Xenopus tropicalis: one gene and its partner. The protein of the gene in region 1 interacts with the protein of each later gene in a biochemical or structural test. Links are inferred from orthologs where the notes say so. Each region holds a gene or a part of one and is shown on either strand. Other genes may lie near its edges. The genes, in order: efl1 and sbds.

Region 1 (15,242 bases):
AGGGTTCAGAAACTTTTAAGCACCACTGTATATGCCATAATTGTAACCTTATTCAAATTTAACTTACTTTACTTTTTTGCCTGTTCCATCCACTTTAATTAACCTTTTTTTCTTATTTTAATTTTTTTTTATTTCTTAGGTATTGGAGGTTTGGAAGAATTTGTTCTAAAGTCAGCAACACTGTCCACTTCACCAGCTTGTCCACCCTTTATTCCTCTTAATTTTGAAGCAACTCCAATTGTCCGGGTAGCTGTTGAACCAAAGCATCCAAGTAAGTTGTCTTCACGCTTATGGACCCTCAGCACCAGATTCTCTTACTTTGCACTGACTCCCTTTAAATCTATGTCTATACCCTGTTTCTGCCTGTGCATGCTTCCCTCTGCCTAGTCACGCTATGCCACAATCAGGAGCTTTAATCTGTTCCTGTGTTGCCAGGCTAGTTACTGTGTCACATTATAGTGGCTTTCAGATCAGTTTTCATCTGCCCATATACTACATGCTGGTATGTCTGCAACCTACATACTGCAACCCCATGCTTCCCAGGGCAGCTGTGTTGCACTTACCACTAAATACCAATCTAAGTAGAAAAAAAAATACTTTGTTTTTTTAATAAAGCAGTTTTTTTTTCTTTTTACTTTCTCAACTAAAATAGCTTCTGACCTTCCCATGTTAGACTGATATGCAAGTGCCAGAAGCTGTTTGATGAGGAACAGAAGGTGCACTACAGGTCTCTTCATTCACTTTTGCAATGAAACCTGAGAAAGAACACATTTTAGATTCTTTGTATTAAAGAGTGAGGGGGAAGAGATTATGACATGGCTTTATGGAAATATGAACTATAAACTGAATTTTATGGTATGAAATATGATTTATGGAAGTGTCAGATTTCTTTAGAGTAACCAACATGAAAGAGAGTCTGCAGACTCTTTTATCAGAAGGCTGTAAGAGCTGACAAAATATGTCAGTGTCATTTTAGGCCTCAAAAGGATATGCACATAGATGTTGGGTATTGAGATTTGAGAGAGCTGGATATCCGCAAAGTTTTAGATGCAGAACGATTTAACCATGACTTAAGTGAAGAGGAGTGAAACTGCTGTGGTTATATACAGTACTATACTATGAAAGGTCAAATTACTGTGGGGAGCCCCCAATTAGTGATTCTACTTACTGGTTAGCCAGTGCTGTGCCACCATCTTCTGGTGTCCACATCAGGTTTGGGCAAGCATGTATCATAGAACTATTTTCGAAATATCTGTGCATTCTCTGGAGTGATGAATCGCACATGCTTCCACATTTGGCCCTTTCATGGACAATTCTGTGTTTGGCAGATGCCAGGAGAACACTGCCTTCCTAAATGTGTAACGATGCGTAACAATTCTGTGTTTTTGCTTTGTGGCAACTATTTGGGGAAGGTCTTTCCTGTTTCACAAAATAAAGTCCATACAGAATGGGTTTGCAAAGCTTGGAGAGTAAGAACTTGACTGGCCTGCACAGAGCCCCAGCCATCAACCCAGCTGAACACTTGTTGGATAATTTGGAACTCTGACTCTGAGCCCGGCCTGATCTACATCATCAGTGTTCATTCTAATAATGATTGTGTCCTGAACGAAAGCAAATACTGCCAGAAATGTCCCAGAATTTGGTGCAAAGCCTTCCCTAAGGTGTAAGAGTAGGAAGGAGAAGACCAATCATATACTAATACCATTAGTTTTGGAATGGAAAAGGCAGGTGCTCAGATACCCTTATCTATATAGTGTAGTTCAAATACTATATATAATCAGCCTCCCTAAAGTTTGTATTACTTTTGTTTTACTTAAATGCAAACAAGATTTCTGGCATTTTAGCTAAAAATTATTAGGGGAACTCAAACGCAACTTAAGCTTTTGAAAAGTTAACATAATTTCTAGCAACTTTGCAATATACAACAATTTAAAAAATGCAGCCTTTTCATGATTTGTGTTGTAATAATATGGTTTTAAACAGTTACCTAAGCCTGGCCCCCTGTTATCCTGCTGATCTGGCTGACTACTTAAAGGACATGTAAACCCCCCACACAAAAATTGAATCAGTGAACAGCCTCTTTAAAATCTTTCAATACCTGCCACTCTGGTTGTTCAGAGGTTAATAGTAAGGCTGTGACATCTCCTTAATCACTTGGATTTGCTTCTCCTCCTGTAACCCACTCGCACCCCTCCCTCAGGAATTTGCTTTGGCTGTTGGCTTGTGGGCATGCTCAGTTGTTCTAAGCTCACATTACTAAACACACCCCCAGTATAGCAGCCAGTGAAGAGATGCCATTGCTGGTTCCCATAGAAACTCAGCTCTAGCTGTCTGCTTCAATTTTTTTTCTCCTGAGCTCAGCTTTATCATTACAGTGCTCAAACAAAGCAGAACTTTTATCAGAGACAGTTGTGCCTGTGTGAGCCTCTTTATCCTTGATGAAATGTATGCTTAATAAGGGTCTGTGTGTGTATGCTGTTTGCAGATTTAAACGTAACTGATTATGTATCAGAGAAAAAATGGCCACCGGGTGAAAGCTGCTATTTGGTTTAGGAAAATGTGATGGTGCTGGCAAATGGAGGGGAAATATGCAGTACAAATTATGCCATTTGGGTGGGGGAGACGTGCCGAGCTGATATACATTGTAGGCAAATGTAGGCTTTACATGTCCTTTAAGGCTCAAAAAAATGTAACAGTAGTTGACCTCAGCCTGCCTTCAGCCTGCATCCTCCAGATCTCACAATCCCCTGCACACGTGATGTCGATAAGGACAGTGCAGTGCATTGTGGTTTATGTAGTTTCTGCCTGCTGTCTGTAAGCTGTAAAGTTGTTACAATTTGTAACATCAATGTTTTAGGCCCTCCTTCCCTTCCAGGATTTCAAATGATGCAGGAAGAGAAGAACTGTTTTGCAGCTGGATTTCAGCATATTAAAATGGTTTTCTGTAGATCAGCCTGAAACGCAGCTTTTCTCGGCACATTCCCTATATATTTAGAGGAGTATAATGCGCCAACGTCATCTTATTTTTTACACAGTATATCCCCTTTAAATCAAATGGGTTATTAAAATATTATAATAATTATTATAATAATATTATTATAATAATATTATAATAATAATTATTTATTTTATGTGAACATTATGATTGTACTTAGCACAATGTAATAATGCACTCATTAGAGTAGGTAAAGGCCTAGCACAAGCGCAATTTTATATACTGGATAAAGTGGTGGAACCTGAGTAGATTTTACTTTATTAAATAATGTTTCAAACACTAAATGTTTAATTTACACAGCTAAACATTTATGAATGTTTCTCCCTCCCACTCTTTTATCATCCCAAATCCTTTTATATGACTAATCTCCTTCCCTATGCTAGCCAGCCTCATGCTAACTCTTGTCAGTCTTTTCTCTACATTATTGATACTGTTAGGTGTTCAGCTCCTGTTTCTTTCTCCAAATCCACTTCAACCTCAGTTCCCCTTCAAGAGGGAATGCTATTAGTTTCTGGAGTGAATCTAATCCCGGGGCTACTTAATACCTGCTAAGTACTATTCACCATGGGCACATTCATGCCAGCTGCTTCCACTTCCAATTACTTGCTGGCTTGCTCTAAATTCTAAACAAGGTGTTTTTGTGCTCACAATGGAGTGGAAGAGAAAGTGGAAACATATCTGATCCAAAACAGTTAAATGAATGAAAGCTGAAAATGTAAAATCTGTTTAATATACTGTAGTTGTCAAGCAAAGAGAATGTACACCTTATTGGATTAATATAAGTAAGTGATGATGTATGGAAGACCCATGGGTGGGTTGTGACTCTCGTCATGCTCGTTAAACATATTTGCATGACACCATCACTTTAATATAATTGTCCCATGAACATGCAGTATGAGAAATAATCAACCCAATACATGTACAAAGCTGAACAGCATAGATGTAAGGCAACTGACCTTATTGTCTGTGGTAGTGTTATTATGTGTTACAGGTATAGAATCCGGAAACCCGTCCAAAAATGTCCGAATTATGGGAAGGTCATCTCCCCATTATAATAAAATAATTCAAAGTTTTAAAACATATTTCCTTTTTCTTTGTGATAAAAATCAGTACCTTGTACTTGATCCCAACTAAGGTATAATTAATCCTTATTGGAGGCAAAACAATCCTATTGGGTTTATTTAAGGTCTAAAATATTTTTTAGTAGATTTAAGGTATAAAGATCCAAATTACAGAAAGACCCCTTATCCAAAAAACTCCAGGTCCCGAGCATTCTGGATAACTGGTCCCATAACTGTATTATGTGTTATACTGGTGTTATGTTATGTTCAAGTCAAAAGGGTTGAGGAGACCGCCTGATACGTATGCAAATAAGTCAAAGGGATTCTGGGAACAAATTCCTTTAGGCTCCTAGAAAAATCCCATTAACATGGGTTTATCCTATAAGCTAACGCTCACCCACTGGGTTTTTAAAGCAAAAGCCAGGATAATAGCTGATCAGATTCCCAACTACAAACTGGTTTTGCCCTTCTTGGGGCTCATCAGTGTAGCGCAGGGTTTTCTGATCAGCTTAGGTAGAGCCAGGAGTGGGGATTCACAAAGAAGTCAAAAGAGTTGAGGAGACCGCCTCATACATATGCAATTAAGTCTTTATGTGTTAGGTCTTATTGTATGTGTTAGTGTCTAAAGGTCTCCAGATTCACTAAAAGCATCTCGTTGCTATAGTGACAGTGCCATAGTGGTTTACATGCAAGACTGCACTGTGCCTGGGACACTCATGTGCCAACTGTATCTCACTCCTACTAAACACAGGCAGTGACATGTACAGAGCAAGGGGCAACTTTATGAGCTAAGTAATTACTAGTTATTGAATATTGACTGCAGTTTAGAAACAGCTGAATAGCAATTGGTGAAAGTTCCAGCACACTGAATAAGATGACATAAAAAGTTCTCTGTCTTGCACTGGCTGGGGCGATATATATATAAATATTTTATATACTGTATCTGTTGCCTGAGAAAGTTAGACTGGGTCATCCAAGCATCCAATTTAGAGCTCTATGGGACAAGGATTTTCTGAATAATGATATGTACTCCATATGAAATGTAATACATGATTAAACCCCCCCCCCCCCCCCACCATTATGTATTTTTTCTAGGTGAAATGCCCCAGCTGGTAAAAGGAATGAAGCTTTTAAACCAGGCTGACCCTTGCGTGGAGGTTTTAATACAAGAAACTGGAGAGCATGTCCTGATCACTGCTGGAGAAGTTCACCTACAGCGCTGCTTGGATGATTTAAGAGAGAGGTTGAAAAATACATATATTTCTGTAATCAGATAGTAACTGGCCTTGAATCCTCACTAATTTATGTTGGTTACTGTAATATTTTCCCTTTGCAGAGGGAGTTTTAGTTGGACATCACTGATAGAAATATGAAAAATACATATTGTTTATTAAACAATATCATTTGTCATTTTACCCAGGACAGTATTTAAGCCAGCCCCTCCCCAACACTAACCAAGCTTCCAAAGTGTCTGCGGATTCAGTTACAAAGGCCTAATTCCTTTTTGACAACACTTTTCCATTTAACACAGTTGCTTCTGATCATTCCTCTGCTATGCATACAAATTGTTAGCACGTGTTAGAGACTCCGAATTGCTTGCTAGCTATTTTAATTTGCTAGGGCAAAATAGATTTGTTACTGTTTTCTTCGGGTTAGGAGGGTCATGGTTTGGAATTCTGTTATGTCTTTGATTAACTGTTTTGCTTAATGACATCTATCTATCCATCTATATTCATTCATGTATATACTTTTAAACAATGGACTGTACTTATACAATGTTAGTAACTGTAGCTTCCATGTTGGCCACACAGTAAGGGGCAGATTTTTTTTATGTAGTGTAAAAAATGGGTCTCTACACATCATAATTTTTTTCTTCTGCCAGAACTTACGTGAAATAATGGCGGAAAATCTAATGTTCAGACTGCAAACTTCTCTGTTTATTTAGCACAGCTTTTAACACCGTTTTTCAGCGAATTTCATTTTACACAGCATAATAAATAGGCATTTTTAAGCCCCCCAACTCATTAGGAGGCTCTAGTTTAAACAAAGGCCTTTTCTACCACATCATTTATTAAATCTTATTGTAGTTTCATTATCACTCTGTTTTTGTGTTTACAATTACCTGCAAGAATAATTACTTTCCCAGGCTGCTAATAAATTAAATGAACATACTGTATTATAAGATGTCCAATTTAAAGAAAATGAATGTCTTCCTCACTTGCCAATAACTCAATTAAATCTGTCTAAACACACTTCCATATCTTCCTGCTACCCTAATTAGCCTAGAATTACTACAGAAAATATTAAGGGTCAATTTTCACGCCTCTTGTTGTGTTTGAATACGGTTACATTCTAAAAGCAGCCCATCACAATATTTCTTTCAAATAGTACTAGGCTTAGGAAACTAGTTGGGGCATGTTCCAAAATGCACATTTTGTTTCCCATTTAGAATTTAGTGCATTAGCTGGTCACTGCTTCATAACTAGCAGTTTAGCTTTTAGTTCATTTCACAGCCACTTTTGTTAGGAGCTAGACCACTTAAACTGATCTTAGTGAAATGTGATGCAGCACCAAGTGTAACCAACCTCATCCATCAGTCTGAAACAGGAGTGTCAGGTTCCTTTCCTCAAAGGCATAGCAGGTGCTGGGAATATTCCTTGTGCAGGGGGAGATTATTTCCTGAAATTTCACTCTGTTTTGGTTCTTTAAGAATGCAACTTGAAAGTTTAAAGTAAGGCTGACCATCCCGATATTGGCACAGATGTTTGCAAATTGTGCAGTCATTTGGCCTTTTGCAGTAAGATTTCCATTTGCTAATAATGTTTGGGCTTTTTCCTACTTATATCCCATCCTTCTGTTCTCTTTGTGATGCTTAATGATTTAGAGATAAACCAGATCATACCTTTTCTAACTGTACAACCCTGTTTTCAAAAAAGTTAGGACACTCTGTAAAGTATAAATAGAGAATGGGATAATTTGCAGATAATTTAAACCCTATATTTAATTGCACTGAATACAAATACAACATATCAAATGTTGAAACTCAGGAATTTTATTGCTTTCTAAAAAATATGTGCTCATTTTGAATTTGATGTCAACAACACATTTCAAAAAAGGGCATGAAAAGACTGAAAATGTTATATAATAAAAAGAGCAAGTAAAGATGGGGAGGGGGACCCCACTCTGTGAAAGACTGCATGGACAAATATTTTAACAATTTAAGAATAATGTTCCTCAATGTTAAATTCTAAAGAATTCTGGGACTTCATCATCTACAGTACATACCGTATATACTCGAGTATAAGCCGATCCGAATATAAGCCGAGGGACCTAATTTTACCTAAGAAAACTGGAAAAACCTATTGACTCGAGTATAAGCCTAGGGGGGGAAATGCAGCAGCTTCTGCTAAGATTCAATAATCAAAATAAATATCAATAAAATCAGGATCTGTCAATCTTACTGAACAAATACAGTAGAAGTCACTAAAGTCTGTCCCATGAGACAATCTGTAGTGACCAGATCACTTTGTGCACTTTACTTCTAATATAGTCAGGCCCATCTTCTGGAGACCATCAATAGGAATGCTGAGAGATTCAAAAGAGACTGTATGCTTATAATGCACAGTGCCCTCTAAATAGGCCATGCAAAATAGCAAACCTAAATGAACCTTCACTATCAGCACCTCTGCATAGTGACATAGACAATATCTGATGTAATTCTATACAAGTATGTATATTATTAGTTTATACAAAAAGCAATTTATTCAACATAATTTTCTATGCGTGATAAAATCACTTGAAAGAATAATTTCTGTCTTTTAATTCTTTGCCCCGGGTTCTAAGAAATCAAAGCTCTGTATTTTAAATGGAGTAACCTAGCTGATAAAAGTATAAAACTTACTTTTTCAGTTTTTATACAAATAGTGCATGTTCCATAGATCCCAATGATCAAATGTACACCGTAGCTCTGCAAACCAGGATTGACATGTAGGGAGCGTGTGATGTCACGCTGGGGGGCGGAGCAAGGAGTCAGGAAGGTTAAAAGATTCAGAGAATCCTAACAAATCTCTGTGCACAAGAGACATAGACATGGTCTGTGTGCCCTCAGGTGGCACTGCATAAAAACAGATTCAATTCTGTAGTGGGAATCACTGCATGGGCTCAGGAATACTTCAGAATCCACACATGTAAGTTACAACTCCATGCAAAGAAGAAACCATATATAAACGTGATCCAGAAACACTGCCTCCTTTTTTGGGCCCAATTGGTCTCCTCAGTTCCCACATGTTACAGAGGGCTGTTAATAGGAGAAGTGATGCAACACAGCAGGAAACATGCCCATGTCCCAACTTTTTTAGAAACAAGCATATCATTTTCAGAAAATAACATTTCTCAGTTTCAGCATGTAATATGTTGTCTTTGTACTATTTGCAATTATATAGGGCAAATCATCCCATTCTCTTTTTATTTCTATTTTACACAGTGTCCCAGCTTTTTTGAAGAACAGAGTTGTAATAATGTATGCACTGCTAAAATATTGTGCTAGTAATTGTTTTGTCTTAGCAGTACATATATAAGTATTATTGCTACATTAAATTTCTGCTTGGTTGGAGTCACAATACTGTATGCTATGTCTAGCAAAGATATATTCTCACTCAGTTATTTTTCCTTTTCTGCCTGTTTAGGTTTGCTAAGATTCAGGTCAGTTCGTCTGCTCCTATAATACCGTTTAGAGAAACTATCATAAGGCCACCTAAAGTTGATATGGTGAATGAAGAGATTGGAAAGCAACAGAAGATTGCGGTCATACATCAAGTCAAAGAAGAGCAGAGCAAGTGTCCTGAAGGAGTCCAGGTTGACCCTGATGGCTTAGTCACCTTGACTACACCAAATAAGCTAGCTACACTGAGTGTCAGGGCCATGCCCCTTCCAGAAGAAGTGACGCAGCTTCTGGAAAAAAACAGTGATTTAATAAGAACAATGGAGCAAATAAATATGGCTTTAAATGAAGGTAGCTACACCATTCATTTTAATGAGTCAGCCATTGAAAGGATAACCGCATTCAAAAGTAATCTCCAGCAACTCCTGCAAGGAAGAAGGTGGAGGAATGCTGTGGACCAGATATGGTCCTTTGGCCCAAGACGTTATGGCCCAAATATCTTATTGAACCGAATTGAAGGTTATGACAGGCCATCAGTTTGGCAGTGCCTTGAAAAAAGTATTAGAGAGGGGAAATATAGAAATTTTGACAACAGCATTGTTAGTGGATTTCAGCTAGCAACTCTTGCTGGCCCCATGTGCGAGGAACCACTAATGGGTGTGTGCTTTATTGTGGAAAAGCTGGATCTGAGCAGGCCTTTGCTTGCTAAAGATAGTGCTAGCCAAGATTCAGAAGTGGATACCAGAACAGAGCCAGAACATAGTGAAACTGGGACAACTGGGACAACTGGGGCCTTAATCAATAATATCTCAACATCAGCCACTGAGGAAACAGAGTTAATTCCTGAAAATGGTGCAAGACCTTTCAGCAAACGAAAAGGTGACTTATTGACAGATTGCTATGGGCCTTTTTCTGGACAACTTATAGCCACTATGAAGGAAGCTTGTCGTTATGCATTCCAAGTTAAACCCCAGAGACTCATGGCTGCCATGTACACGTGTGAAATAATGGCAACTGCTGAAGTGTTAGGTGAGTAGGGATCCTGACTGAAATGTGAGTTGTTATGAACATATTGTCAGTGATACAGCTATGTGACAGGGTCTCTGTGTAATAACTGTAATCCCCCCTAAAAAATGGAATCATGGGGATGTGCAGCTTTTTCCTTTGAAGCAAGTTCTGATGATGGGTGCCTTACTGAGCAGATAAATCAGAATCACTTGAGGCATCAAGCTTATGTCAGGCCTTGTCACTGAGCTGTGTAGATCAGGCTAGGTTGACTGAAACCACTCCTAAAAACATACTAGATATAATTAAAAAACTTCTAAGTTTAGCATCCTTGACCCCAAGCAAATTTCTGCTTCAGGCTTTCCACTGCTATTAAATTAGACAGGTTTCACTGGGACAAAAGGTTGACAGAACTTGATGGATATATATTTTTTTAAGTCGTCTGCCAATACATGCTGCTGCATTTATAATAGTTATAATTATGTATCCCTCCATTCATATTTATGTTGCAAGCTTCAAACAGGTTATAAATTCATAAATGGGCTGAGTTTTTGTAATGGATGAGCAATGCCTGGTGCAGTATTACTGTAGGTAAGCCAATCAGTAATATCAGTTGTGTACCTGACAGCACACAATCTGTTGGGAGCATCCCGGTATTTCATTGAGTAAATCCAAAATTAAACAGAATTAACTATTAAATATACCTGTGGTGTTAGAGAAAAAAAAAGATTAACCCTTGGCCACCAACTACATAGTAAGCCTAGAGGCTTGGCATGCACTTTGACATTATGTGGGTCATTTACAAGATCCAGGGGAGCAAGGGGGACAAGAGCACACTCTTTTAGAGAGCACTTTTGCCCCAGCCTGTCACTACCTTCTCTGTGGACAGGACCCAACTGTGGCCTGCATTTGCTTACTTGAAAGTTACCAGGAGCAGCTTTTTGTCACTCCTGGTGACATTGGGGGTGCTGCCACCTTAGGTGAGTTTCTATCACTACCTTCTGCCTATGGGGAAGAGGGCCCCGCTGTGGCCTGCATTTGCTAACTTGAATGTTACCAGGAGCAGCTTTTTTTCACTCCTGGTGACATTGGGGGTGCTGCCACCTTAGGTGAGTTTCTGTCACTACCTTCTGCCCTCGGGGAAGAGGGCCCCACTGTGGCCTGCATTTGCTAACTTGAATGTTACTAGGAGCAGCTTTTTGTCACTCCTGGTGACATTGGGGGTGCTGCCACCTTAGGTGAGTTTCTGTCACTACCTTCTGCCTTCTGGGGACAGGGCCCCACTGTGGCCTGCATTTGCTAACTTGAAAGTTACCAGGAGCAGCTTTTTGTCCCTCCTGGTGACTTTGGGGGTGCTGCCACCTTAGGTGAGTTTCTCAACTTGCCTTATGGCAGCAGCACCCCTGCAGTTGGGGGTGGGGAGGGGGTTGCCTACTTGCGTCTCCCCACTCCAATTCCTCATGAGTATAAAAGGTACAAAATGCAGGCAAACACTGTATTCATGGAACATCTGCAGGTCTCTGTGCTCAGAAATGGACATTGTGAAATATGCAAACAGAAAAAACCATAGATTTGCGGGTTTGCAGAACAATTCCTAACATTATGTGTGTGAAGAATTTAACAAATACTCCTAAGTCCCTTTGTAGCCCATCATTTTTATGATGGGGGAAGGTTAAAACACAGGTTTCTGTTTCTGTCCTTTGCAGTGAAATCTCACCTCTATAAACAATAAATATGTATTCTGCCTTTATTTACAGACAAGCACTTAAAAAGGTTGTATTCTTATCTTTGTCATTTATAAATTGGCAAAGTCAGACATTTCAAAGGTGCCCTCCATCTAAATCACTTACTGATCAAACATTCAGCATGTAAATACCATACATGTCCAGTTTTAAAATGATGCAGTAGTAACGTCGTCTAGGGCTCAGCCTGTGGGCTCTAACGGGCTTTGTGCTAGTTTATAATGGCACTTACCAGTAAGCAAGTACTCCTGGCATTATGCACCCATTTCCAGTTAAGTCTATGTTCACTCCCCAACCCATGCTTATCAGCTGTATGCACTGGGAGGTACCGTTCAACCACAGCCGGATAGCTGCAGGTTTGACATGTCTGTTCTGTTATATAAAACACAGCCTTGATGCTTGATGCAGTGCTAATGAAATATGCAGACAAACTGAGAAAGCTGCTGTGTTACACTTAAAAAATCCTGTTCTTCCATTAAATCTTAATTGACCAAAAAGAAATATCTTTTTATCTTTTTTCAAGTGCAAAAGAAGCCATTCTGTTACATTACTGCATGGAAAATGCATTTTTCACTGTGAACTTAAAGGCCCAAGGCAAACACTCTTCATCAGCCTTTCTTTTAAATTCTTCCTTCTGAAAGCGCACTATCTGGCAGGCTCTGAGCTGTCTCTCCAAGGTTCACTTGGTAGATTGCAAACCTCAAAGTGCATGTCATTAAAATTCCCCAAAATATTCTTTATCTCATGATTTTGTAATGCATTCATCATAAGGAGTAACACAAACTGAAGATAAAGAATGTCTGGCTGGAGTATAAATATCCACTGGCGGCTCCCTTTTACTTAAAAACAATGATTTCATTCTCTTTATATTTATTTATTGTGCTTTTGAAGCAAATGCTGCCTTGTAACTAAAGTTAATTTAGGACACTCACTTAATCTAATGTTTAAGTAACAAGTGTAGGTCCTGCAAAAAAAGGCAAGCAAAAATTGCTTCTAAATCAGGGTAAAGGAATATGCTGTAGCTTTAAGGGTTAGAGAAGAATAATTTACAGGTGTTCGTACCACACTTTTGCCAAAATATGTAAGCTCGCTTTGTAGTAACAAATCAGTGATGGGACCTCATATACAGCTGCACTGAAAATTACTAAACAGTTATAACAATGGGTGCAGTATATTTGCTGTAGCACATACAAGCCAAACAATCTAGCTCACAAGCAGCTAGACGGCACAGTACCAAATGTGCTTATGGGAATGGGGATATTTTGGCAGACAAATGGTTGGAGCAGGAATCATTGCGGCTCAAGTCACACTATCAGTGGGAATGGCAGCGTGTCTGGCACACATGTGAGATAAATGGCACCTGACAGTCACAACTGTGTGATCTCTAGCTATACAGAGCCAAAAGCACGTGTTAAAATAAAATGCACCCTGGGAAGCAATTACCATAATATTGTTACATTTAATGTGAATTACAAAAACAAATTGCACAGAGGGTTACCTAATGTATATAATATTTGAAGAAAGCTAATTTTACCATGTTTTGGGCTCTACTTTACCCTTTTACCCACCTTATCAATCATAGGTGGTTTGCACAGGATTGCACTTTGGGCAGGTTCAGAAATGGATGATATTCTGGTTTAAAAAAAAAAAATAAAAATAACCATTCATATTGAGTTAAGGGTAAGTCTGTCTCTTTAAGGAGAATAAAGCTTAACCAAGAAGTAGGACATAAAGGCTATCCATTATGTTTCTTGCTTCTGTACCAGCCTTTAGCAGGGAAGATCTGTGCCTCCAAATATGCCCCAGTAGTTCCCGTGTGTAGTGCCGATTCACTGCATATGCTCTGTGCTGCTTTCAGTAACTGAGCGTAGGGACCGACGCACAATATACTGTATATATAGAATAGAAATGTCACAATATAAGGCTTAGTTATTAGATTAGTAATTTATTCATGTTCTAATAACAGGGCAGCTCTGAAACCAGTGAAATTAGCATCAGAATTTAATAATCAGCCCTGTAACATCAACATCTATGACAAACAAACCTGATTTTCTGCTTGATGATTTGCAGTGACCCCTAAGCTTAGCCTCTCAGAGCACACTGAGCGCATGAGAGTCACTGACACACAAAATACAAGATAACGACCCCCGTGTACAATGTTGAAGGCCTGGATCATTAGGGTTATAGGGATTCTGAAACTAAAGGCTAGTACAATAATTCAGTATATAAAGTTTGGCATTTCTACCTATGTCTGTAGGGGTTAGTTCTTCTTCAAAATGGTCTTGTTTAATGTGTTGTTCCTATATTAAATATCTTGCGTATGTCAGGACTCAAAACCTTTATTCCCATCTTTCCTCAGAATATTTATCCCTTTCAACTCCATTGTCTGGCACTTTTGGCTTTTTGGCTTAAGAATATTTATTAAAGGGGTCTTTCATAATGAAAGAAAATGTCATTCTAGGCAGCTTTCTAGTGTACAAAAAATTACATTTTCTCTGGGTCTGACTTCTTAGAATAATGTAATAGGAATTAGGTCTCCTCCAGGTCTTTTAATGGCATATAATCAGCTGGCTTGCAACATTGTTTTAGAAGTCAGAGCCAGGGGAGCAGAGGATATAAACATACAGACAAGCTGCTTTTAAATTGTTACATAACTGTAAAACCATTGGCCATTTAAATTAATGTATAATCTCAGAAATTTTTTAATTTTTTCACCTTTAAGAAACGGTAAATAATATAATTGTACCTATGTATGTAATGTATCTATAAATTAAATTTACAATGAAAAAGGCTGATAGGATTAAAGTACAGTTTAGTTCCATCCCATTGAGCAGGATGCCTCTCCACAATGTGTCCAGTAGATATAACATGAGCAACCGGCTTCTAAAAGAAATGGCAGGTACTTACGGGACTGCAAAATCAATTAAATCAATGTAGCACAAATGACTCTGACCTACTGATGTTGGTCTTATAGTTATGTGTTTGCACCAATTAAATCTGTATGTCTGGAGTACACTAGTATTTGTCTTTGTATCCATTAAACAGTGACAGCAGCAGTTTGGGTCCTAACATTATGTTAAAAGATAGTTAGGGGCAGGTTTATCAAAGTTTGAACTGGGGAGCCCAGAAGGTGTTAGTGCTCAGTACGTCTGTAAAATAATCTAAAGTTTAACACCTAAATGTTTAAACCCTAATGAAGTCATTCCAGCGTAGACAATAAATGTTTAAATATTAAATAATTGGTATTTTTCTGAGGAGTATAAAGTATCTATCATTGATAAATCAGGACTTTTGCCAGAGAAAACTTTCATCTCCTCTTTAAAAAAGCACAGTCCTTCACCATGGTATGCTCCAGGAGTACTGATGGGCAGGAGGTCCTATACCTTAGCCACACTAGAGATGAACTTGCATTGGATATTTTTGGGAGATGATTTATAGTTGAATCTCATGCTATAGCACCCTATGCCAGTCATGAACTGGACAAGCCAATCAAGCAGACTATAGCCCAGCAAATGAATAGAATAGTTAGGTTTGTTGTACACAAGCATTCACATAGTGCATAGCTAAGGGCAGTCTTATATGATTAATTAGTGCAAGTGGGTTTAAAGAGCCCTGCAGCCTAGCAGCCCTGCTTTTGTGCCTTGTGTTGCCAAAATATATCAGTCTGTATGGCAGAAATACAATACAACAAAATGCCATTATTGCAGAACTTACACAGACAGTTTAGGCCCTAAGCCGTAAGGAGAGGGATGTGTGTCTGTAAAATTCAGTGGGGCGGA
Region 2 (16,006 bases), on another chromosome or scaffold:
ATCATAAGAGATACTGTACCTCCTTTTCAAAACAGAAAAATTCCATTAGTTGGCCTGAACACTTTTACACATGTATATACTAACACAACACCCTGGTGACTTCTAATATCCTTATTTTTAACAATAAGGTGTATATTATCCCTTAAATATTTATAGATGTGACATTACATTTAGTGATGTGAGTTTTTTTTTTTAGAGCAGATTGTTCCTGAAGCACTTATCATAGATCAGGTTACACAATTCTTTCTTCTTTAAATAAGACTCATTGACCACTGACACATCTGATCAAAAATTCCACATTTCAAGTTCTTTTTCTTTAACAATATATTCAGTATCATTGGTATCTGTGGTGCCTTTTTCTTCTTAATAACATACTTAAGATGCCAGTTATGTGGACATGCAAAGAACTAAGCTTTAGAACAGATACACACATGCATATTGTTTTCTGAATTATGGCCTCTTATAAAGGCTCTGCAACAGAGCCAATATAGTGTAGTACCAAGGAAGACCTGTACCTTAGTAAGTGCGTTAAACTTAAGTGCACAAACAATATATAATATAGCCTTAATAACCACAAATTATGATACTTTAAAATAGAAAGCAAAATTTGAAAGTTCCAGCTTAAATGCTTAAGAGCGCTAATTTATGGTGCTTAATCTGAAACATGTTCAGAACACCAAAACATACACCATACGTGCCTCCTGGAAAATAAAAAGAGGATATTGAAGAAAATGGAAATAACAGTCACAGAATTAAAAATATCTGTAACAGATATGTATGCATTTAGTGGGTATAAACCTTCATTTTATACTGGAAATATTGGGATAAGTGAGAAAGATCCCAAAAATAGGCAAGTATGTTTAGTAATTAGCACTTTAAAATAGTTTGTGTGCTGGTTAGCAGGGCTGTGGATATGTATAGAATCTGCTGATTAGCACATAAAGCACAGAATCTCTGTTTCCATATCTATTTCTTCCCATTCTTGTGCTATGTAAAATAGACCACACATGGGGAAAAAAAAATCAAATAAATAAAGTTTATATTTTCATTTTTGTAACTTTTTCTGCTTTAAAGTGCAGAAACCAATAAAAAATTCTTGGCAAATCATGACATATTTTGTTAAACAAAATGTCTGACAACTATAAAGGAGTTAAAAGTCTTTTAAATGAGAAATAAAACTTAGAAATGAATTAGGCTACAAATGCTATACCTTATCTTTTGGGCTTCTGTACCAGCCAAAAGTCATTACAGGACTGTGTCTGTAATGATATGAAGATATTCCCTGTAGATCCCTAGTTTTTGCTGCTGATTTACAGCACATACTCTGTGCTTGGGCTGCGGAACTTCTGGGCTGGCACAGTAAGTTTAAAATATAACATATAACATTTCTAGAAATATTCAGTTTAGTTGTTATTTAATAACTTTGAGGACGCTAAAGCAAGTGCGTTGGTCTTCACTCAAACTTCTCATCACCTTCTTCTACATCTTTCAGACTGAGAACTTCAAGAGTGCCTTTTCCCTTAGTCTCACAGCGTATTAACTCATCAATTTCTCTGAAGCAGCCAGGATCAATTAAGCAAACCTAAAATGTAGTATAAAAAGCAAATAAATTATAAGATGAAGAAATGGTAATAAACAGAAATCTATTTTTGTCAACAGAGAATCCTTATAAAAAAAAATTGAGGATTTCTTAATGCTGTTGGTATGCACATTTATTGTTGTGCAGAATAAAAATTAAAAAGCCCAGATATGACCCAGAAAAGATAATTATGTGTTTCATGCTTTCTAGTTCTAAATAATATACATGATTATTTGCTGGAAAGCATAAAATATGCGTAAAGCATGCATAAGACTATGATCGTTTCTGGATCTATGCTTTTCAATCACTGACTAATAAAATTTTAAAGTGAGGATTCCTTTTTTTAGCCGTTCACTAGGCATTTTTTAGCACTCAAACATTTTTATAATGTGGAAGACTCTCTCCAAACTATTGTTTTTGATGTATAGATTAAGGACAGCATTTAGCAACTACTGAGTTTTCTGCAGGCCTTGCTATTAGTAAGATAATCGTGTCGTAGGATTGCCCCAAGATGCCCTTCCAACTCTGTTTGGAAAGTAGAAAGAAAAAAGTTCTGACCTCTCAGATGAGTTTTCCCCTAATCCTAAAACTTACAGGACAATGGCAGAAAGTATGAGGGTAACCGTATCATTTATATAGTGCTTTTACAGCAGATGATAGGGTACATCAGTGCTGTCCAACTTCTGTTGTACCGAGGGCCGGAATTTTTCCGACCTACGTGGTGGAGGGCCGATAATGGAAGCCAGTTTTGACCACTCCCCTTTTTGAAACCGCACCCACTTGAAACCACACCCATGTTATCACATGACCGTACCCATATTAATGGTTGTAGTACAGCAAAAACCTGCCCTACTCTGCCTGCCCTACCCGGCCGGTGTGTGCCCTACTCTGCCTGCCCTACCCGGCCGGTGTGTGCCCTACTCTGCCTGCCCTACCCGGCCGGTGTGTGCCCTACCCGGCCGGTGTGTGCCCTACCCGGCCGGTGTGTGCCCTACCCGGCCGGTGTGTGCCCTACCCGGCCGGTGTGTGCCCTACCCGGCCGGTGTGTGCCCTACCCGGCCGGTGTGTGCCCTACCCGGCCGGTGTGTGCCCTACCCTGCCTGTGTGTGCCCTACCCTGCCTGTGTGTGCCCTACCCTGCCTGTGTGTGCCCTACCCTGCCTGTGTGTGCCCTACCCTGCCTGTGTGTGCCCTACCCTGCCTGTGTGTGCCATACCCTGCCTGTGTGTGCCATACCCTGCCTGTGTGTGCCATACCCTGCCTGTGTGTGCCATACCCTGCCTGTGTGTGGTGTGCCATACCCTGCCTGTGTGTGCCATACCCTGCCTGTGTGTGCCATACCCTGCCTGTGTGTGCCATACTCTGCCTGTGTGTGCCATACTCTGCCTGTGTGTGCCATACTCTGCCTGTGTGTGCCATACTCTGCCTGTGTGTGCCATACTCTGCCTGTGTGTGCCATACTCTGCCTTCCCTACCCTGCCTGTGTGTGCCATACTCTGCTTGCCCTATGATGACTGTGTGTATGGCACACACAGGCAGCCTACAGTGACACAATGCTGGCACTGCTCCTACAGTCTGCACAATAACTATATATTAAAAAACTTTTTAATTGAAGTACCACCTCAGTATATGTTCTTTTTGTAGTATGCAGGGATTATTTGTGGGTTTCTACTGCTCCTGAGGTGTGAACAGGGGAACAATATGGGTGATTACAGCCTGAGCCTGAGGTGTGAACACTGCAGGGGGTGAACAATGCAGAGATTAAAAGGTGTGAACAACACAGGGGATTACATATTTAAACAATACAGCCTGATTACAGCCTGAATCTAAGGTGAGAACCATGCAGGGGGCCATTTAATCTCAGTACTGATACCATTTAAAGCTTACACAAGAGTAAGCCATCAAAGCAGCCAGACAGGTGGGGGGCCACACAGAGGGGGGTCGCGGGCCGCCAGTTGGACAGCACTGGGGTACATGTAAGAGAGAGTGGGTCATAACATGGTCTATAAGCTGGTGGCAAAATGACATGTCAAAAGGCATGTCCTATTAAAAAGCTAAATCCCTTCTAGAAGAGGTAATTCAAATCATTGCTTTGCAACAATAATTGTGCATAATAACTTCTGTGATGTCTTCCATGCTTTAAGCTTACAATGTCACTTCTCTTTACTCCACCTTATAGACATATGATTTTCATCTGCAAATCTGTCATCTCATTCCCCAAATTACTTTAGGCATGCTTTTATTGTATAACTGTTTTTAAGATTAGCATATCAGTAAAGAGATATATTCCAAATATTTAAAAGAAAATGTTACTTACAATTTCCAGCTCTTGATCAAAGTTCTCACTCTCTGTGTGCTTTATTAAAGGCTTCAGTTTCTCTTTCAATTTCTTTCCATCCTTAGCTGGTAAAATGAATCGCAGTCTCATGTGGGCACGTTCAATCTGCATTGTTTCTTTCAGCTGCTTGATAACATCTAATGCCTGCAGTGTACACATAACCATCAAAATAATACTATTAAAGTTATACTGTCATGAGAAAACATGCACTGTGTTTATAATATATATAAAAAAATGTAGGAAGAGGATCGCTTGTTTGCAGCTACCCCGGGGCTGGTGCGATTTTCTCCTAACAGGAGCACCAACCCAGGTTATAATGTAAGCGAGTACAATCACTTCTTCATTCCCTTCTCCGTGCTATTTTTTTTGCTAGTTGTTTGTTGCGGGTTACTGCCAGAGACATAGGTTGTAAGGTCCTGGACTAATTTGGCACTAATAGGATTAAATAGCAGGCAGAACACATTTTTAATACAAGCTTTATTTATAAGGCTCATGCTGAGCATGGTGGTATATTGCACATTAAAGTAGAACTCCCATTTTAAGTTTTTCGGGGGACCAAAAAAGGGAAAAAAATTGTCAGGAAAATAAATTATGCATTTCATATTGGCAGGACCATAAAAAATTGTGTTAAATGAGGAAAAACTAAAGATCAGGGTATGTAAAATTGAGGTTTCACTGTACTGTGTACTAATTATAGAAACAATCCCTAACTAAATCAAACCTTACTAAATAACAGTGATAGTGTTCCTCTGACATCTATGGAGCACACATTTACTAAGCAACATAGCACCTGTAATCAATTATTTTCACCCAAGACTTTGCTTACTTGGTGTTAAATGAAGGTAACATTGTCTTTAACAGAAATACAATATTTATAAACTTTAAAACGACAATAACTTCTTCCCCTCTCTCTTTCTAAGAATTTTATTTTGATAATACTTTTCCATTCAGGATGCATGAATAAAAGATATCACAATTTTTACATAGATAATTTGTGTTCTTCTTCTAATAATTTCAAAACTACCGAGATCTCCGAAGGATTACCAGTAGTAAATATTTTTACCTGTTGCTTGGTGCTCTTGGTTGCTTTCACCGAGTAGTGAATATCTTTCATTGCTCGTTCAATAAGGTTAACAGTGTAAGGCCTCTTTGTCTCTGGATTTACACATTTGTCAGCCACAATTGTTGCAATATCTCGAAACATCTGTTCTAATTGCGTGCTCCGCTCTTTTTCTGAAACTTGAAGTTCTCCTTTAGATAAAATCTAAAAAAAAATAAAAATATATGCATTAAAGATATTTTTTATAATCACAAAACAAAAAAAAAGGGAGGGAAAAAAAGCAAATTGGACGTAATGTCACACAAAACTACCAAAATGGGCTGGACAAAATTATTGGCACCCTTTCAAAATTGTGGATAAATAAGATTGTTAAACTCACCTGGGGCAAGTAACAGGTGTGGGCAATATAAAAATCACACCTGAAAGCAGACAAAAAGGAGAGAAGTTCACTTAGTCTTTGCACTGTGTGTCCTTGTGTGCCACACTAAGCATGGACAACAGAACGAGGAACAAAGAACTGAGGACTGAGGACTTGAGAACCAAAATTGTGGAAAAATATCAACAATCTCAAGGTTACAAGTCCATCTCCAGAGATCTAGATTTGCCTTTGTCCACAGTGCGCAACATTATCAAGAAGTTTGCAACCCATGGCACTGTAGCTAATCTTCCTGGGCGTGGATGGACGAGAAAAATTGATGAAAGGTTGCAACACAGGATAGCCCAGATGGTGGATAAGCAGCCCCAAACAAGTTCCAAAGAAATTCAAGCTGTCCTGCAGACTCAGGGAGCATCAGTGTCAGCGCAAACTATCAATCGACATTTAAATGAAACGCTATGGCAGGAGACCCAGGAGGACCCCACTGCTGACACAGAGATATAAAAAAGCAAGAAGCTGGAGAGTCCTGAAGTGGCCAGCAATGAGTCCAGATCTAAATCCCATTGAACATCTGTGGAGAGATCTTAAAATTGCTGTCGGGAAAAGGTGCCCTTCCAATAAGAGAGACCTGGAGCAGTTTGCAAAGGAAGAGTGGTCCGAAATTCCCGGTGAGAGGTGTAAGAAGCTTATTGATGGTTATAGGAAGCGACTGATTTCAGGTATTTTTTCCAAAGGGTGTGCAACCAAATATTAAGTTAAGGGTGCCAATAATTTTGTCCAGCCCATTTTTGGAGTTTTGTATGACATTATGTCCAATTTGCTTTTTTACTCCCTTTTCTGTTCTGTTCTGTTCCAATACACCCAAAAAGGGAATTAACATGTGTATTGCAAAACATGTGTTACTGCAATACTTTTCTGTGAGAAATACTTGATTTTCTGGAAAAATGTCTGGGGTGCCAACAATTTGGGCCATGACTCAACAGCCTTCATATTCTGTAGATGGATATCAGTCAGTTTGAATGCACAGTCAGCACCATGAGGGTAAAGTGCAACACAGGATGAAGTCTACAATGGACATCAGTATTAAATCCAGTGGAGTAGAACACCAACAAACCCACTCAGAGCTATTCAGTCTGTAACAAATCTTAAATGTATAAGACCATATTAGATAACTCAGCTATAAACTGCAATTAAAGAGTCCAGGGAAAGGAACATCTATGACACAGGCAAGTGGAATCGAATTTTGATCATTATAAATTTATGAGCAGATAAAAATACAGTTATAGACTTTACTACTAATCATAATTTATTTTCTTCACTAATTTTACTAACCTGCTTACAGATTTCTGTCGGGTCTTCAGTGCCAAATGATTTGAGAAGATCTTCTTTTTTAGCTACTTGGCCTTTAGATACATTCATAAATACAGAGTGGGTTTGCAATACTTCATCAAGATCTTTTTCACTGCAAACAAATAATATACATGTAAGCTTCGAGTATTCATAAAACTCCTCTACCCTTTTTCATATGGTTAGGGCTTCAGACAAAAACTTGTCCTTTAAAGTGATAAAGCCTTTTATTTTTGTCTGTAAGTTACCCACCCACTTAATGGGGAAGGGAACCTCCTTTCTCTTGTATCTTAATAATCAGCACTTAATCATTAATATACACTGTAATTGTATTGTTTCCTGCTTGTTCTATTACTTTATTCTTTATCATGTACAACAGCTCTACATCCCCTTCCCTCCTACCAGTGCACACCTCAGTGAGAAGTGGGGCAAATGTTGCAGAGAGCTGCTTTGTATTTAATGGCTTACACTGTAATAACATCATGGACTAACATTTAGTACAAATTGCTTAAGTGATACTGACACTAAAAAAACACTCTTCAAAACATTAAAGGGGTAAGTCACCTTTAAGCTAATTTTTAGTGTTATAGAATAACCTATTCTAAGCAACTTTTCAATTGGTCTTCATAATTTATTTGTTATAGTTTTAGAATTATTTGCATTCTTCTTCCAACTTTTTAAATGGCGGTCACTGACCCCCAAAGCCAAAAAACTATTGCTCTGTGTTACTTTTTGTAACTTTCTTTTCTATTCAGGCCCTCTCCTATGTAACAGTCTCTCATCCAAACCACTTCCTGGTTGCTAAAGTAACTTGGACCCTAGCAACCAAATAAATGCTGAAATTTCAAACTGGAGAGCCTTTGAATTGAAAATGAAATAACTAAAAAAACATTAAGCTGCCTATACACAGGCAGATCCGCTCGCTTGGCAACAACCTACGGGTGGTTGATATCGGGTAACATGTAGGTGAATTCGATCGTTTGGCCCAGGGGCCAAACGATCAAATTCTAACGGCGGCAATGGGGCAGTCGGTTCGGGGGCCGCATCAACGAGCCGATGCGGTCCCTGATCCGATTGAATTTTCTAACCTGGCCGATCGATATCTGGCCAATTTCAGAACAGATATCGGTCGGCCAGGCCCCTCGTTTCTGCCCCTACATGGGCCAATAAGCTGCTGAATCGGTCCAAGGGACCGATATCGGCAGCTACAATCAGCCAGTGTATGGGGACCTTTATAGCTTCTAATGCTAATGGACTTCTGCTGCACAAATATGACAGCCTCCTCATAGAGAAACATGGGGGATCAGGTATGGAATAAAAAAGCATTTGGCAGAGACTTTTAAAGGAGAAAAAAAGGCTAAGTCACTTGGGGGTGCCAAAATGTTAGGCACCCCCAAGTGGCTTTAATCGCCTACCTTTTAGCCCGGGCTGGTGCCCCTGTTAGGAGAAAACCGCACCAGCCCGGGGTAGCTGTGAGCGTGGTCTCCTCTTCCTTCTTTGCGCGCTTGCGCATGCGCAGTAGAGTGAAAAGCCGAACTTTAACAAAAAAGTCAGCTTTTCGCTCTACTGCGGTTTTCTCCTAACAGGGGTACCAGCTTGGGGTACAAGGTAAGCGATTAAAGTCACTTGGGGGTGCCTAATATTTTGGCACCCCAAGCCTTTCCTTCTTTAAGGTAAAATTATAAATAGCATGCAAAGACAATGTTATGAAAGCCATAAAAAAGAAGGCTCAGAAACCTTTTAATTTATAATGTTGCAGTTAAGCAAATATTCTAAATGTAAAAGCCAAATATAAAAGTACAAAGTCAAGCCTCTTAACCTAAACCACAACACACCATGACAAACCGTAGGCATCTGCCAGGCAGGCAGAAACTATAGCAAGCTCTCCCTCAAATCAGTCCAAGTAACATTTACCGCTGTAACACAAGCAGGTAATAAATACTCACGCCCCACTTCTCCAGCTCATGACTTTGTTTTTGTAGCAGGCAATCTCAAATCGCTTTCCTCCTTTCTTCATGCGCACCACAGCGACATTGGTAAGGCGAATCTGGTTGGTTGGGGTAAAGATGGACATTTTGCCTGTAAACGTCTCACCCCACGAAAGCTGTTTTCAGACAAATGTAACAAAGTACTGAAAACGCACAAACAAAATTTCAGTTTTCCCACACGCTAGTTTCTGGCGCAGCAGGAGTTGCACATGCGCAGAGAATGTTTCCCTTAGCGGAAGTGCTTATCAGGGTCTGTGCGCACTCTGAGCTTGGCAGCAAGTTGTTGCTTCTAAACATTGTCAATAAAGTTCGTTTGGTACTACGGCAAGGAAAAACAGTGTATAAGGCATGACACTTAAGAAACAAATATGGCTGCCCCCAGCGAGGCATGAGTGTGTGTCTGTGACCGTGTAAACTACTGCATGTTGTGACAGGATCTTACGTGCCTTCCGTCGTTTCTTTTAGAATGACACAGACTCTGATTTTGGGAATTCTCCCACAAGCAGCTTTTGTGGCCGCACAACAAGTTGATACGGGTGAGTACGAATATAGCTGAGGCCTCCCGGTGTCGTAGTTTGGGCATCTTGTTAAAAGTCGTCAGCTGAGGGGAAGAAGTACTTTTACTAAAAAGTACACTGTTTTTAGCACAACCTACGATTCCTAAAAATGACAGATTTTGTGTACTTCCACTCCTGTAGTAACAAGAGTTTTGAATAATCAAGAGAAATGTCAGAAAGAGAAATGTCAGAATGTTATTGTATACTTGAATAATACAACTGATTTGGAAAACCCCATGACTTCTAATTTCCAATACGGTTTATGTGTAGAATTGACTTGTATTTAAAGATTTAAAATCACCACACCAGATATAAGCACACTTTAGGTTGTGAGGCTAAAAAGGTCATAATTGTTTTTTCAAATTTATGAAAATTGACTGAATACTTTAAATGTTCTGCATATTATCTGCCACATATCCTTATTACAAATCATAAATCTGAATGCAACGGGTCTTGCGAACATATTGTGGCATGTAGCTGGCTCAAAACAAAAATAGTGCATACAAACTTTGATGAATGACGTTTCAAGTACAAGAAAATAAAAAACCTCCTGCTTATTGAATGTGGTAAAATTGTTTAAGTAGTGGTGTAGTTACCATACAGTGACTTTGTGACCAGGGTTCCATTGGAGAGGTGGGGCCAGACCACAGGGTCTGCTCTGTGGTGCCATATCATACTGACTTGTGCCTTGAGCCTCTTCAACATTTTTTCCAAAAAATAGTTACTAAGGGGTTGATTCACTAAAGTGCGTTAAAACGAGCGCTATTTTTATAGCATGCGGTAAAAATTTTATCGCTTCTTATATTTTGGGACTTAATGCACGATGAGCATTTTTTCTTGCGTTATTTTCTGCTGCGCATGATGTATTTCGGCGCTTGCTATATTAGCATGTGATTTTACGCACGTAACCATTACTTTCGGAAAACTACTGTTCTGAAAATGACCATTTCCCTGAAAACTGGAGGCTGCATCAGTCTAGGGCCAACACATACTTGAAAAAATCCCAGTGCAAAGTCCATGTTGTGTTGCCAAAAGCTCACGAACCACAATTTTCTTTAAGTACCGCCTGCCCCAAGTAGGTGTTAATCTTCGCACAGACTTATGCAATATTTAGCTCATTTAACGCTTCATATGTATTTGTGAATCATGCGTTAGGATTATTTCTACGTGCGAATTAACGCAATGCAGGAAAAATAATGCATTGCAGTAGCGCGTGATCTAACGTGTGCAAAATTACTTTGACGAATCGGGCGTTATTTATCGCATGCTTTTTAATGCAAAAAAGCATGCGATAAGCGTTATCGCACTTTAGTGAATCAACCCCTAAGTGCACAAGTTGTGCATGTGGTGGTTGGGAGCGTGTTACGAGTGATGGAGCAGTTTATCTAAGGTGGTGCTAGGGTGGCCCTGCAGTGTATTTAGTGTCCCAGCTAGTCAAAATTGCCATTTGAACATTTTTTTGGAAAAAAATACTGTATCCAGTATTTTTATTTTTAAAATGTGTCTGAGTACACTTGTCAAACCATGTTTTCTGTGTATAAGTCAGCCCACCTACCAAAATAAAGTGTATTTCACTTTCCTGGGTGCAGGAAGGAGAAGCTGGTTGGCAATTAGATCCTATATGCTGTCATGTAGCCCAAGATGGTGGAACCGGGAGAGGCTTAGTAAGCAAAGTAAACAGGTCTGTGGGGATCATAAATTCTACATTGTATGGCACTGTGTGGTGCCTAAAGTGCTAAATATTTAAAGTATGTGTATGCTAACTCTTACCCACTATGAAAACATACTTGGGATAAAAGAAGGAAGATACTGGGGCCTGTGTCCTGCCAGTAAGACCAAAGGCACATGACAATAGTAGATGCTTTGGCTTGACACCTGAAATTTTTTTTAGTAGATTTGTTGTGCCAAATTGCCCAAAAATGTTTTTCTGTTTTGGAAATGTGACCATTATAACAGCCAGTGGGAACAATTTGATGCCACCCCCTGAGCTATTCAAAAATTATAGTTTCTAGCATAGCCCTAATTTTATGCCAAGGAAATGAAGAAAAAGAATAAAACCTTAATTTTCCACGCACCAGACATTTAACCCTGCTGATAATAGTGAAACAGCACATCTGCCATTAAGGGCTCTGGCACACGGGGAGATTAGTCGCCTGCGACAAATCTCCCTGTTCGCAGGCGACTAATCTCCTCGAATTGCCATCCCACCGGCGACAATGTAAGTCGCTGGTGGTATGGCACATGCTGCGCAGGCGATTTCGCCAAATCACTGAAGTTGCCTCGCAAGGCATTTTCGGCAATTTGCCGAAATCGCGCCGCCGCATGTGCCATCCCACCGGCGACTTACATTGTCGCCGGTGGGATAACAACTGATGGCAACTCGGGGAGATTTGTCGCGGGCAACTGATCTCCCCGTGTGCCAGAGCCCTTAGGCAGATTAAGGTTACAAAGAAACTCAGGGTTGAAGAAAACATTAGTGGTTTGTAAGGCGGGGTAAGAGACCATGTTGAGACCCAGTGAGAGACTTCTTTTATTTAAACAACGGGGATCCAGAAATCCTGATCACACATATAACACATTTGTGGATGTGTATCATTGCTCCAGCAAAGGAGGTGTCTGAAGACCTTGGAAAAAAAGTTGTTGATGCCCATAAAACTGGAAAAGTTTGCAAGACTATCTCTAAAGAATTTGGACTTTGTCAGTCAACAGTCTGATTGTGTACAAATGGAGAAGACCGTTGTTGCCCTACCCAGAAGTGGTTGACCATCAAAGACACATTTAAGGCATCATATTTTTGTTTCATTTGTTTAACTAGGTTTTCTTCATCTACTTTTAGGACTTGTTTGAAAATCGGATGATGTTTTAGGTCACATGCATATAAAAATATAGAAAATTTAAAGTGGACCTGTCACCTAGGCATAAAAATCTGTATAATAAAAGCCCCTTTCAAATTCATTATGAACCCCAAACTCATTTTTTTATTAACACATCCATACCCGTTATAAAAGCATTTAAAAATCCCAACTGTCAATCATATTTTGCCTGCCCCGCCTCTATGCCTTAGGCATAGAGGTGGGACTGGCAGTTACTTTCACTTTCAATTCAGAACTTCTTAGGATGTTGCTGCACTCCTCACATTCCCCCTCCCTTCTCACAATGTAATTTTGTAACCAGTGCATGGACATGGGCACCAGGTCCCCCCATATTGCCACAGAAATAAGATTTTGACAGGATGTAAAGCTTCCCTTAATAACAGTGTCCACAAAATGGTGCCTGCCTGCTTGCTGCAATTCCTGTGAATTCCAAGGATGAAGAAAATAAGATTAAACTAATTTATATGGTGTAAGTGCAGTTTACTTTGCTTGACAAACACAATTGAAAACAATCTGGAATTATTTCTTAGGGTGACAGGTCCCCTTTAAAAGGGTTCAAAAACTTTCAAGCAGCACTGTATATACATAAAAACATTCTGTATGCACTTGTAAATAATGGTACAATGGAACATTAAATGCTTACACACCCAGTGTTACAACAAAAAATACATTTGTTGGTTCAAGAATACAATTTTAAATAGTAGAATGAATTATTTCCAATGTACACAGTGTAATTTGGCAATAAAAACTAGAATCCTTTAACAAAAATAATCTGGTTGTTCATTAGGTTTTTCTTTGCATTTCATACAGCACGTTGATACATTGTTTACTATGTCTTTTTTTTTTTTTTTGTCTTTTTAAGATATGTCTACAAACGCATGGGATTTTGCCTATACACATCTGATGTTTTTGTGGCTGAACAGGTTTTACATATACTCATGTGCTGCTATTGGTATCACTGTTTGGTTCTGCAGCCATTTTATCACAGCTAGAAAAAAGCAGCAGGTAATTATAAAATGTGATTTGTTGGCAGCATTGACAACTTTTTGTCATTTAGTTATTGTGTTATTTTTAAGATATCTTGTACATCATTTTAAAAACTTCTGCCTTGGTTTAAGAATTCAAGGTCTGGAGAACAAATTATGAAATTGGAGTATCTTACGACCATGGAAGACTTAACATTTTACAACTCCCCATTATGATTGTCACAAGATTAAACTGTCCCTTAATATCAATTAATACCAATTCCCTTTGAAAAAAATTTTAAGCTTTGTGGATCATTTCGAACTACGTTTATTTAAATTTTTTTACTTTAATTACAGTTGAATTTTCTGCCTTCTGTGTTGTAATCATATGGCTCTCTGTTATGCCTGTAATTTGTCTGATTGCCTGGGCTAATGGCACTTAGCAACTAGAAAGCAGTCACTTATTTATCCTTTATTTACATCACTGATTGCCAGAATGATTGTGACCCTATCAACCAATTATGTTTACATTGCATGCATTTTTAAAAAATGAAGCAGAACTGCAAATTCTTATACAATCACTAAAGGTTAATTTATTTTAGTAAATGTATAAAATAAATTTTGTGCTAAAAGGCTTGCATGTCCTATTGATTAGGCGGGAAAGATTTGAGGGGGAAAGAGAGCAACAAAAACCCCTAGGTTCTATTAATCTAAATCTGAAGTAAAAAAAAAAAGTCCATTAAATTAAGCCAGCCTTGGTCTATGCAAACTATGAATAATAGTGTTCCTACTGCAGTTGCTTGCGTGAAATTAACATACATAGTGATTCCTATTAACTATGAACAAACCAATTTAAGAAAATTCCTAGCTTTTATTGTTATTTCTCTGCAAATTCTTTAAGGGCAAAACATGTCACAAAAAGCCTTGTGTTTCATAAGTCTTAGCCTAAATTAATGTACTGAACAAACCCAATGCAGTATCATTTAGGACAGTGCTGTCCAACTTCTACGGTGCCGAGGGCCGGAATTTCTCTAGCATACATGGTGGAGGGCCGCTAATGGAAGCCAGTTTTGACCACTCCCCTTTTTGAAACCACACCCACTTCAAACCACACCTATTTTATCACAATGGTGGTAGCACAGCAAAATCCCAAATGCTTGGTCCTTACTGTGGGGATATCAACCATCATTCATATGTGAAAGAATTATGTCATATTAAGATATACCCTTAAATTCCATATGCCTCCTCCTCCCCTGTGGATAGCAGAGCAACCCCCAGTACATAATTACACACCTTTGGGACCATTTAATGGCAATTTCCAACTGCTAACAAACTCCCACAACAAACCCCTGCCAGGTTCACCTCCCACAAGCAGCATAGGGCAAGCAGAGTATGGCACACACAGGCAGCACACTGCCTGTCCTATGCTGTCTGTGTGCCATACTCTGCCTGTGTGTGCCATACTCTGTCTTCCCTATGCTGCCTCTGTGTGCCATACTTTGCCTGCCCTACCCTGCCTGTGTGTGCCATACTCTGCCTACCCTGACTGTGTGCACCATACTCTGCCTGCCTACCCTTCCTGTGTGTGCCATACCCTCCCTGACCTATGCTGCCTGTGTGTGCCATACTCTACCTGCCCTATGCTGGCTGTATGTGCCAAACTCTGCCTGCCCTATGCTGCCTGTGTGTGCCATACTCTACCTGCCCTATGCTGGCTGTATGTGCCATACTCTGCCTACAGTACCTATGTCTGAGGTGTGAAGAAGTGAACAATGGGAGTGATTACAGTCTGAGCCTGAGGTGTGAACAATGCAGACATTAAAAGGTGTGAAAAACACAGGGGATTGCATTTTTAAACAATACAGAGGGATTACAGCCTGAATCTGAGGTGAGAACCATGCAGGGGGCCAGTTAATCTCAGTACTGATACCATTTAATGCTTACTCAAAGGTAAGCCATCAAAGCAGCCAGACAGGTGGGGGGCCACACAGAGGGGGGCCGCCAGTTGGACAGCACTGATTTAGGAGATCTGTCCTTAAAGGAGAAGGAATGGCATTTTGTCATTTTATTGCCAATGGATTAGCCTGTGTGACTGCAAGACTGTGATTGGCTATCCCCCTCCTGCTGTGCTTCTGGCAGGGACTGTGTTTCATTTAAAACACAGACCAGGACCTGAGAGGATCTATAGGGAGCTCCAATAAATGGGCAATTTTTGCAGACAGTATTCAATTTTAGCCCAAAGTGAAACCAGCACCATATATTATTCATAATTGCCAACAAGTTTAGTTTCCCCAATCTGTCTGGTAATGTTTAACACTTTTGTTTTCTAAGAATGAAAATGTTCACAATGGTTCTCTGCCACTGAAGACAAAAACCTTAAAAAGCTACAATTCACCATCTATTAAGGAGCAAGATGTGTATGTTGCTGGTGTGAAAATTTTCTATGGCTCTCAAACAGGCACTGCCAAGGTAGGGTTTATTGCTTTATTCTAAAATGCTCTTAAGTTGTGTGTGCTTTGGCCTTAATCTTGATGTTTACTAAATTGTTTATGTTATACCTTTAGGGTTTTGCACATATGCTGGATGGAGAAATCACTCTTCTTGGGCTGCCAGTGGAAATTATTAACATGAAAGAATATGATCCAGATGACAACTTAATAGAAGAAGTATGACTTTGTCCATTTTACTAAAATATTCTATTGTTCGGTTAAAGTGTTTCTTAACAGCTCTGTTACATTAACATGACAGGTATACTTTGATTTCCTAGCTTTGTGACATGCAGTTCATATGAAGTGTGAGTTACAAGTCTTAATATTTTCAGGGAAAATATATATGAAAGTTATGTATGGAACATACACTTTGGCCTTAAAATTGTAGCCAGGGTCACAAATGATTGTCACTAGTGGGATAATCCACTAGGTTAG

What was found.
Region 2: the proteins of efl1 (region 1) and sbds interact in a biophysical measurement, tested with the Homo sapiens proteins (2 studies listed by BioGRID and IntAct, with this or other methods). The link is inferred for Xenopus tropicalis from reciprocal best matches to the Homo sapiens genes EFL1 and SBDS.

What each region holds. Positions count from the first base shown.
Region 1 is NC_030679.2:106,110,497-106,125,738, forward strand, and holds part of efl1 (elongation factor-like GTPase 1), read left to right. Parts: intron 1-139; coding exon 140-271; intron 272-5,151; coding exon 5,152-5,299; intron 5,300-8,741; coding exon 8,742-9,745; intron 9,746-15,242. UniProt on the Homo sapiens protein: GTPase involved in the biogenesis of the 60S ribosomal subunit and translational activation of ribosomes.
Region 2 is NC_030678.2:98,225,866-98,241,871, forward strand, and holds the start of sbds (ribosome maturation protein SBDS), read right to left. Parts: upstream 8,863-16,006; 5' UTR 8,774-8,862; coding exon 8,646-8,773; intron 6,815-8,645; coding exon 6,685-6,814; intron 5,181-6,684; coding exon 4,980-5,180; intron 4,061-4,979; coding exon 3,896-4,060; intron 1,583-3,895; coding exon 1,454-1,582; 3' UTR 1-1,453. UniProt on the Homo sapiens protein: Required for the assembly of mature ribosomes and ribosome biogenesis.